Caenorhabditis elegans: one gene and its partner. The protein of the gene in region 2 purifies or fractionates together with the protein of the main gene of each other region. This does not show direct contact. Each region holds a gene or a part of one and is shown on either strand. Other genes may lie near its edges.

The links.
Region 1: the proteins of gcsh-2 (region 2) and gsnl-1 fractionate together in Caenorhabditis elegans (co-fractionation; one large-scale study listed by BioGRID). This does not show direct contact.

What each region holds. Positions count from the first base shown.
Region 1 is NC_003283.11:9,495,278-9,499,984, forward strand, and holds gsnl-1 (Gelsolin-like protein 1), read left to right. Parts: upstream 1-1,764; 5' UTR 1,765-1,827; coding exon 1,828-1,902; intron 1,903-2,227; coding exon 2,228-2,302; intron 2,303-2,348; coding exon 2,349-2,450; intron 2,451-2,493; coding exon 2,494-2,691; intron 2,692-2,749; coding exon 2,750-3,063; intron 3,064-3,135; coding exon 3,136-3,217; intron 3,218-3,264; coding exon 3,265-3,381; intron 3,382-3,427; coding exon 3,428-3,553; intron 3,554-3,595; coding exon 3,596-3,889; intron 3,890-3,951; coding exon 3,952-3,996; 3' UTR 3,997-4,099; downstream 4,100-4,707. UniProt on the Caenorhabditis elegans protein: Calcium-regulated, actin-modulating protein that binds to the plus (or barbed) ends of actin monomers or filaments, preventing monomer exchange (end-blocking or capping).
Region 2 is NC_003279.8:7,345,369-7,348,883, forward strand, and holds gcsh-2 (Glycine cleavage system H protein), read right to left. Parts: upstream 1,356-3,515; 5' UTR 1,354-1,355; coding exon 1,293-1,353; intron 1,131-1,292; coding exon 1,051-1,130; intron 1,005-1,050; coding exon 705-1,004; 3' UTR 570-704; downstream 1-569. Other genes in the region: glb-18 (Globin domain-containing protein), read left to right, coding at 140-316; kbrl-1 (NF-kappa-B inhibitor-interacting Ras-like protein), read left to right, coding at 1,996-2,161, 2,693-2,799, 3,061-3,139.

The DNA of each region.
Region 1 (4,707 bases), on a different chromosome or scaffold from region 2:
AGATTTCAGCTTTTTCAGTGTCTGTATTTGCGGTATGCCCATCTCTGCTAGTCAGAGAGGGAACTGAAACTACTTTTGGCTTTAGACAATTCTTTACGTCGTGTGTGAATTTAGAATTCCCTCTTTGTTCTAGGTTCTTAAGCTCAACATTTCTACGATATTTCAGTAATTTTTTCCTATACCGTTTAGCTGCGGCCACATAAATCAGAAAGTCTTTTGTGTCCCTTGAATTTAAAGCGTTTCTATAAGTAATTTCAACAAAATCTCTCAGTGCATTGAGGTACGGTGGAAGGAATATCTCATCTGCTTTAACAGTTCTTTTCGGGATTGAGAGTTCAAAAGTGCTTTGCATTTCTGCTAAAAACTGATCAAACATGTCATTCACTGAATTGTGAGCACTAAAGAGTTGATTCCAGTTTATATTGTCAATGCACTGAACACATTTGTTCCAATCAATATTTTTGAAATCATAAACTTCCTTGCTGGCGGTGTGTTGCTTCTGTAGGAGATCAATACTAAACTGGAGTCTACGATGGTCACTGTTTCCTAGTGGTGAAAAAATTTTTATTTTTGAAACATTGAGGTTAGAAAAGACCAAATCAAGGATGTTAGATGCTCTGGTGGGGTTGGTTACGAACTGTTTCAATTTTTGGGTTTTGCAGAATTCTATTAACATTGTGCCTAATCGGGTATCAGATTGTGGATCTTGCCCACTCCAATTAATACTGCTAACATTCAAATCTCCTAGTATAACAATTTGACCCGGGTGATCGGTTATGTCTTCGAGCTTATTCAACAAAGTCACAGTATCATGAAAAGATGCGGTTGGAGGCCTATATATGTTTACTATGCGTAGTGGAGTGACATTGACGTTGACATCTAAGACCAATATTTCGAAAGCTTTGCGTTTCGATTCTGCAAGAACCACACTACAGCTTATACTATTTTTTACTAGAGTACATACTCCGCCGCCCCTTTGTTCATCTGGACGATCTGCACGGTAAACCTGGTAGTTTTTATTATTGAAAATAGAGTTTTGCGTTTTACTTGTAAGCCATGTTTCTTGCAAGCAGACTAAGTCATGTTCATTTGTGGTCAATTCCCCCATTAGTTCTAATCGATTAGCATTAACAGATCTTATATTGGCACATAGTACATTTAATTTGAGGCCTGGGATTGGGGAACAATTTAATTTTGAGAATAAAAAACCTTTAGAATACACGCTCAGTTTTTTGGGACGTTCTTAGCGGGCTGCATAATAGAGACTCGAGGTGGTTGGTTCTGCGTGGAGTTATGTGAAGGATTTTTGTTTACACGTGAACTATTGTTGGTGTGCATGGCGGTGGGTTGGGAATTGGTGGGTTGGAGTGATGTGGATTGACGGAATTTGATGCGGTTTTCTCTAAATTAAAAACAAAGTGTGACATTCAAGCATTGATTGAAGAAAAGCTGGATGTTCTGGTGACTTAAACATTTTCAATGGTTATTCTGGTTTGCTCATGGTCAAACTTCATAATAAATTCAAATCTTCTCAAACTTTGATCGCTCTATGTTCATGTGAACCTTTGGATTGCACAGCTTCATTTAATGATCTGAACAATCTAAATCCAAAACAGACAAACAAGAAAGTTAATCGTCAGTCTCCCGCCCATTCACATTGTAAAATGCTCAAAGTAATTGGTGAGAGAGCAATTGAATTATTAGAGACACAGACAACACACGTTTTTTACACTTTCTGACGGGTCCATAGGATGCGGAAGGGTCGTTTTCTCTGCTCATTTCATTGCTTGTTGATTCTGGTGGTCAACAAAAAAGTTCTAAACTACAATGGGAGGAACATCCTTGGATCCAGCATTGGCCGAGATTGGAAAGAAGAACGGGCTTCTTGTTTGGAGAATTAATGTACGTTTTGTAGTCAATGGAGTAACATTTACAGTGTCAAATCTAGTCTGAACTACGGTACAGTCACAATTATTTCCTAATATTTTAAGTGAAATATTCTGAAATATATTACAAATGTTGTGTGTTCAAAATTAGTTGTCATTGGAAGTGGTCTATAGTTTTAAAATCTTGCACTGTCATCAACAAACTAATATCTTACTCATCCTACGTTTAAACCCTTGAACTTTGAAATGTGTCATATCAAGTTGTTTGTGTCAAAAATATTCCCCAATATCTTCTTTATCCTCCCCACGTATCTATCAGTTCCAATGTTTCGCAATTTCAGAAATTTGTGTTGGAGCCGGTCCCCGAGGTTGATCATGGTGTGTTTTACATTGGAGACGCCTACATTGCACTCTACGTATGTTTTCCTATAGAACAGAATATATGAAAAGAGATGGTTACAGCAAAAGTACGATGGATGTTGGGATGTTCATTTCTGGCTTGGAAAGAATGCATCGACTGATGAAATTGGAGTTGCAGCAATCAAGACTGTAGAGATTGACGATGTAAGAAATGCTTCTAGAAAGTTTTAAAATTTGATTGTTTCAGTCTCTCGGTGGAATTCCAACCCAACATCGTGAAATTCAAAACTACGAATCTCCTCTCTTCTTGTCCTATTTCCCTGACGGAATTCGTTATGTATCTGGTGGTTATGAATCTGGATACCGTCATGTAGACGATCAGTTCAAAAACTGGAAACCTCATTTGTTCCATTGTAAGGGAAAACGAAATGTGAGATGCACGGAGGTAAGGAAAAATAAATAGAAGATAAGAGACATTGAAAGCACACAGAATACAATTCTAGGTGGAATGTGAAGTGAATTCTCTTAATTTGGGAGATGTATTCATTTTGGATCTGGGAAAGGATCTTTATGTTTGGATGCCACCAGAGAGTGGAAGACTTGAAAGAATCAAGGGAATGGCTCGTGCCAAGAATATTGCTGATCATGAAAGAATGGGAATCCCGAAAGTTCATATTCTTGATGATGTTGAATGGGATAATGATTCAACATTCTGGAGTTATTTTGGTGGGGTTTCGTCCGTTAGGAAGGTGTCAAAGGGAAAAGATGACGATGATAACTACTGGAAAAGACTTACGGAGCAAATTACACTTTGGAAGTAAGACAATTTTGAAATTTGACTGGAATTTAAGGGAATTTATTTAACCTATTGAAAATTGATTTATTTCAGAGTTTCCGACGCATCTGGTGCTGCTAAAGTTAGCATGGTTTCTCAAGGCGAAAATATTCGAAAAGAGCAACTTGATCCCAAGGTGAGTTGCCGAATCAGTTTAATTGAAACAATTTTATTTTAATTCAGGATGCCTTCATTCTTGATGCAATTAATGGTGGAATCTTCGTCTGGATTGGACATGAATGTACTCTTGAAGAAAGATCGAAGGCTCTTATTTGGGGGCAGAACTATTTGAAACAGCATGTATGATAATTATTTTATTTCGAAAATAATTCCTTTCACATTTCAGCATCTTCCCCGCTGGACACAAGTTACTAGAGTTCTCGAATCAGCTGAATCTACTCAATTCACCCAATGGTTCCGTGATTGGGTTGATGAGAAAAAGAAGAACACATTCACTCCACTCCTTTTCCAAGTTGGTTTGATGCAATGAGCAATTTTCAGATTGAAGTTTCAGGTTTCCGATGAAAGCGGTCTTCTTCATGTTGAGGAAATTGCAAACTTCACTCAAGAAGATCTTGATGGAGATGATGTCATGATCTTGGATGCTTTGAATTCCATCTACGTTTGGGTTGGAGCAAATGCTAATGCAAATGAGAAGAAAGAAGCATTAAACACTGCAAAGTTGTACTTGGAAAAAGATAAGTTGCCACGTCACAAGAAAACAGCTATTGACACGATCTTCCAAGGAAAAGAACCACCAACTTTCAAGAAATTCTTCCCATCCTGGGACGATAATTTGTTCAAGAATGTAAGTAATTAAATACTCTTATGAAAACAAAAAATATCATGAGCTAACATATTGTATTTCAGGAAGTTCGATCCGTGCAGAACATGCGTCGCCTTCTCTTCCACTAATTAAACTTTTTTAATTTTAATTTTTCATTGTATCTTATAATGTTTCTACATTTCTAATGTAATTTAAAATGACTCATTGAAATAATAAACACTGCCTGATCATAACTTTTTACAAAATAAGTGAAGGGGTACATCAGAAGATCGTAGCTAATAGATCTTTATCAGCTCCTCGGTCTGCCCCACAACCATCGTATTTCGTCGTTTTCTTCTGAGAAAAAGTGAAAACGTGTCATTTTTATGTATCGTTTTCATTCAGAGCTTCCACTCTTCCTTTTCTACATCATCGACCTTGAAATCCTGTGAAAGAACTGTTCAGAACACACTGCTGGGTCTCCATGGCTACACTGATTTCAATCTGAATCTGATATGTCTTGTGAACATTTACACAAACATATGTTGGACGAAGAAAAATAAACTGCTGAAAGAATTAAGAAGGAAGCTATATACAGAGAAATCGAAACGTGCGAAGCGTGAATATTTTCCCGAGACGGAACAATATGAAAATCGGAAAAGTGTCGGGCATTTGCAATACAAGGCTGAGGGGGAGAACGTGAAAAATCTCTGAACGCATTGTTCCCTATAGAAGAATTATTCTCAATTTCATGCAAATATGTCATTGTGTTTTCTTGATTTAACTTTTTTAATTTTATTTTTATCGTCCTATACCGTGATTCAGCCTTTCAGACAATCCTCTCCTTCACTAACTCTTGG
Region 2 (3,515 bases):
GCAGACGCCTACGTAATATAGATTTGAAAATAATTGATCGGAATAGTTGTTTCTAAATTTTGAATATCTTTCACAAATTTTTGACTATGAAATTCTGGTTTTTATGAATCGTTGAAATTTTATAAATTTTATTATTCAGGACGCTATGGAATTTGCATTAGAACACCGTCTCTCCATTATGACCGATTTAGACGATAATCAAAAAAGAGACGCAGTGACGGTGTGGAGGACATTGGCACTATATACAACTGTACACATGCGAAATGGGTTCATTGATGGTCTGAAAGGTGTCAATCGTTTTCCGCCTTTAGTGTAATGTTTTCAATTGTTCGCATAATCTTATCCGTAATTGCCTCCAATCTCTGTGATCGTTTTCTCTTCAATTTGATTCAACTTTAATAATAATATTTGCTTTAATTCTTTCGTTGTTTAGAGTTTTTCAATTTGAATTTACAATGGCGTGATGAAATCCAGCTAAACAGGGATTTTAATTTTTAATTCACAAAACTATTTGCCATTCACATTTTAACCTCATTTTTTGTAAATATTTGCATTAAAATATTTTCCAATTTCTAAACAATTGTTTAATTAACAATAAAAAATAAATATCAAAAGAAATACATTATACTCTGACCTAAACGAATTCAATATGAATACCAGTACCAGAATGTTATAACTATAATACAGAGATTAAAGGTGTTTGTTTAGTGGGCAGCTTCTTCGTCCTTCTTGAACTTTGCATACTGTTCCTCGTTAAGAAGTTTTTCCAGCTCGTCTGCTGACTTAACTTTCAATTTGTACAACCATCCCTTTTCGAATGGACTCTTGTTGATCAGACCGGCTTCTTCCTCCAATTTCACATTTTTCTGGGTTACAGTTCCAGAGATTGGTGCATAAATGTCAGAAGCGGCTTTCACACTCTCAACAGCTCCAGTTGAGTCTCCTTTTGAAATTTCAGTTCCCTCATCCGGCAGCTCAATGAAGACGACATCTCCGAGTTGTTCCTGGAAACTAAAAATATGCAAATTGAACATATTGAAAAATACTAACCGTTGCAAAGTCCGTAATTCCAACGGTTCCAACACCGTTCTCTACGAGCACCCATTCATGTTTCTTCGTGTATAGACGACCTAAAATCAAAAAATTCGATGTTATACTTTTTTTCCGAATTTAAATTAATAAAATACTTTGAAAATTAAATTTTTTTAGTATTTCTTACTGCTTGATCTTGAACAATCTTTGATTTGGCAAAAATTAGATGATTTTCAGAAAATGAAAGAAAAAATACGTACCAGATGAGGCCAATCTGACAGCGGAACGAAGAGATGGAACAGCACGACAAAGTTGGTTCATACCTGAAAACAAAAATAGTTGTATGGAAAATGTCAAAGAAAAAAGAAGAATTTTAGAGTAGTGAAAAAGAAAAGTATCGGGTCGGACGAATGCGTTATCAGTAGTAGATAAAGGCAATATAAACTGCAAAATAAAGACAAATAGGATAGATGGAAAGATAGAGAAGTTTAGTAGGTATGAGATGATCAGAGGGCAATGATTGTCTTGGAGTTTTTTTTGAAAATTTAATGTGTTTATGTGATTTAATAAACAAAACTTAAATATGAACAAAAGGATCATATTTGTAAAGATGTTGGAAGGAAGATTATAAAATTGAACACTCGTATTAAATTCAGAGGCGTTAGATTCGAAGAGAGTGAAAATATATTTTCATGACCTTCATGGAAATGTTTTCATTTTTGAGACAATGTTTCGTTTCCAAAACAATTTTGTTTCACTTATTCTCACTCTATGTTAATTAACCTTTATTCTCTTCAGAATTTCTTTTCAGGATTTTGAGGGTAGCCCATTCAATAAAGTTCCTAACAATATATTTAGACTTTTTTTTCAAAAACCCACAACTTACTCACTTTATAAATCTTTCAAGAAGCCAGTTTGAAATGACTTTTCCGTGATCGGTTTAGAGCTTTTTTTTGCTCAAAAATGCTCAAATTGAAAAACAAACACGTAAAAACCGGTAAATGTGCAAACACGCCGACGAGATTTCACAGAAGATGCATACGAGTTGGCGACAATTTAACCAATAAGCGAGTTCGATTCTTTGGTTCCGCGTCCAATTCTTGTGAGTTTCTATATTATCTATTTAAAGGTAAATCATTTTATTTACTTGAATCAAAACCAAATTATCTATGAATTGCATTAATTCCTCGGAATTCGTAGTTTTCCCACCTGAAAAATTCAATTTCCCAGAATAAATATTTCTTCTGAATATCAAATTGCAATAAACTCTCGTTTTCAAAAGAGCAGCCACAGGTGCTTTATTGCGTCTCCACCCCGTCTATTGTGCTATTATTTTCATCCACCCATTCAAAACATTTTATCAATGCTGTAAAGCAAAAAGCACACAAACATTCGGACGATCGTCGTCTAGTCATCGTGTTTCCACCTGTAATTAATATTAAACTATTCCTAATTTCCGTTTAAAACATACATATTCATCTGGAAAATGAGTGGTGGTAAGGGGAGCTTTCGGCATAAATTCAATGAAAAACTAAAGTTATCCGATCAAAATAGAATAGAAATCCACTAATCCCTTTTATCCGAGGCGATTAAATTTGAAACAAAAACGTTTCGAAGCAAAAAAAAAAATATTTTCGAAATCATCATAAAATGTTTTCAGAGAATTGGATCCGTCCGAGTTCTCGGAAGTTTTCACTCGGAGTAACTCCGCGAGCACTTTCACGAATCGACGCCACATCGACTCCATCTCTAGACGTCCCTCAAAAGGTGAGAACATAGGAATATGAGTCAGCAGAAAGAATATTATATTGAATCCTGGTCCTTTTGTAAATAAATATCGGCTATAAAGAGGATGGGAATCAAGTTTTTGGAAAAAAAAGAAACATTTTCCTTATTTCTTGTAAAATCAATCCCCTCCGCGATTGTCTAAAATGCATCGAAATTTGCACAAAAAGGTGATTTTCAATATAAAGACAAAAATTATAGTATTTCAATTTTGGAATCGTTGAAATTTAATTAAATTTGCAGGCCACAAATCGTCGATTCTCGTTAGCCGCGACCTTCTTTGACGCCGCCAAAGCAGATAGAAAAACTTCACTTTGTGTTGGTAGGTTATTAGAATTTCGCCCAGTTTTATTTCAAAAACTAAAAAGACAAAAGTGCAAGATAAAATCTAAAAATTAAGAGAAAACTTCATTACAGTGAGAACCACTAACTGAAAAAAGACAGATTTTTCTATCCAAAAAAAAATGAGAAAGTCTCTTAATTTTCCCCATTTGCCACTTTATGACCTAAACAGTGCCACGTCATCGTCTAAATCAAACAGCGTCCTCTGTGCTTAACTCTTATCACTTTTTTATGGCATGTGCACTCCTCCCTCTATGCACCACTTAGTTTCAAGCATTTTTCTTACCATATTATCATTCTTTTCCCTAGCTATTCTTATTGTTTTTGGATCAAGTCATGTCCGACTCTAAACTAAG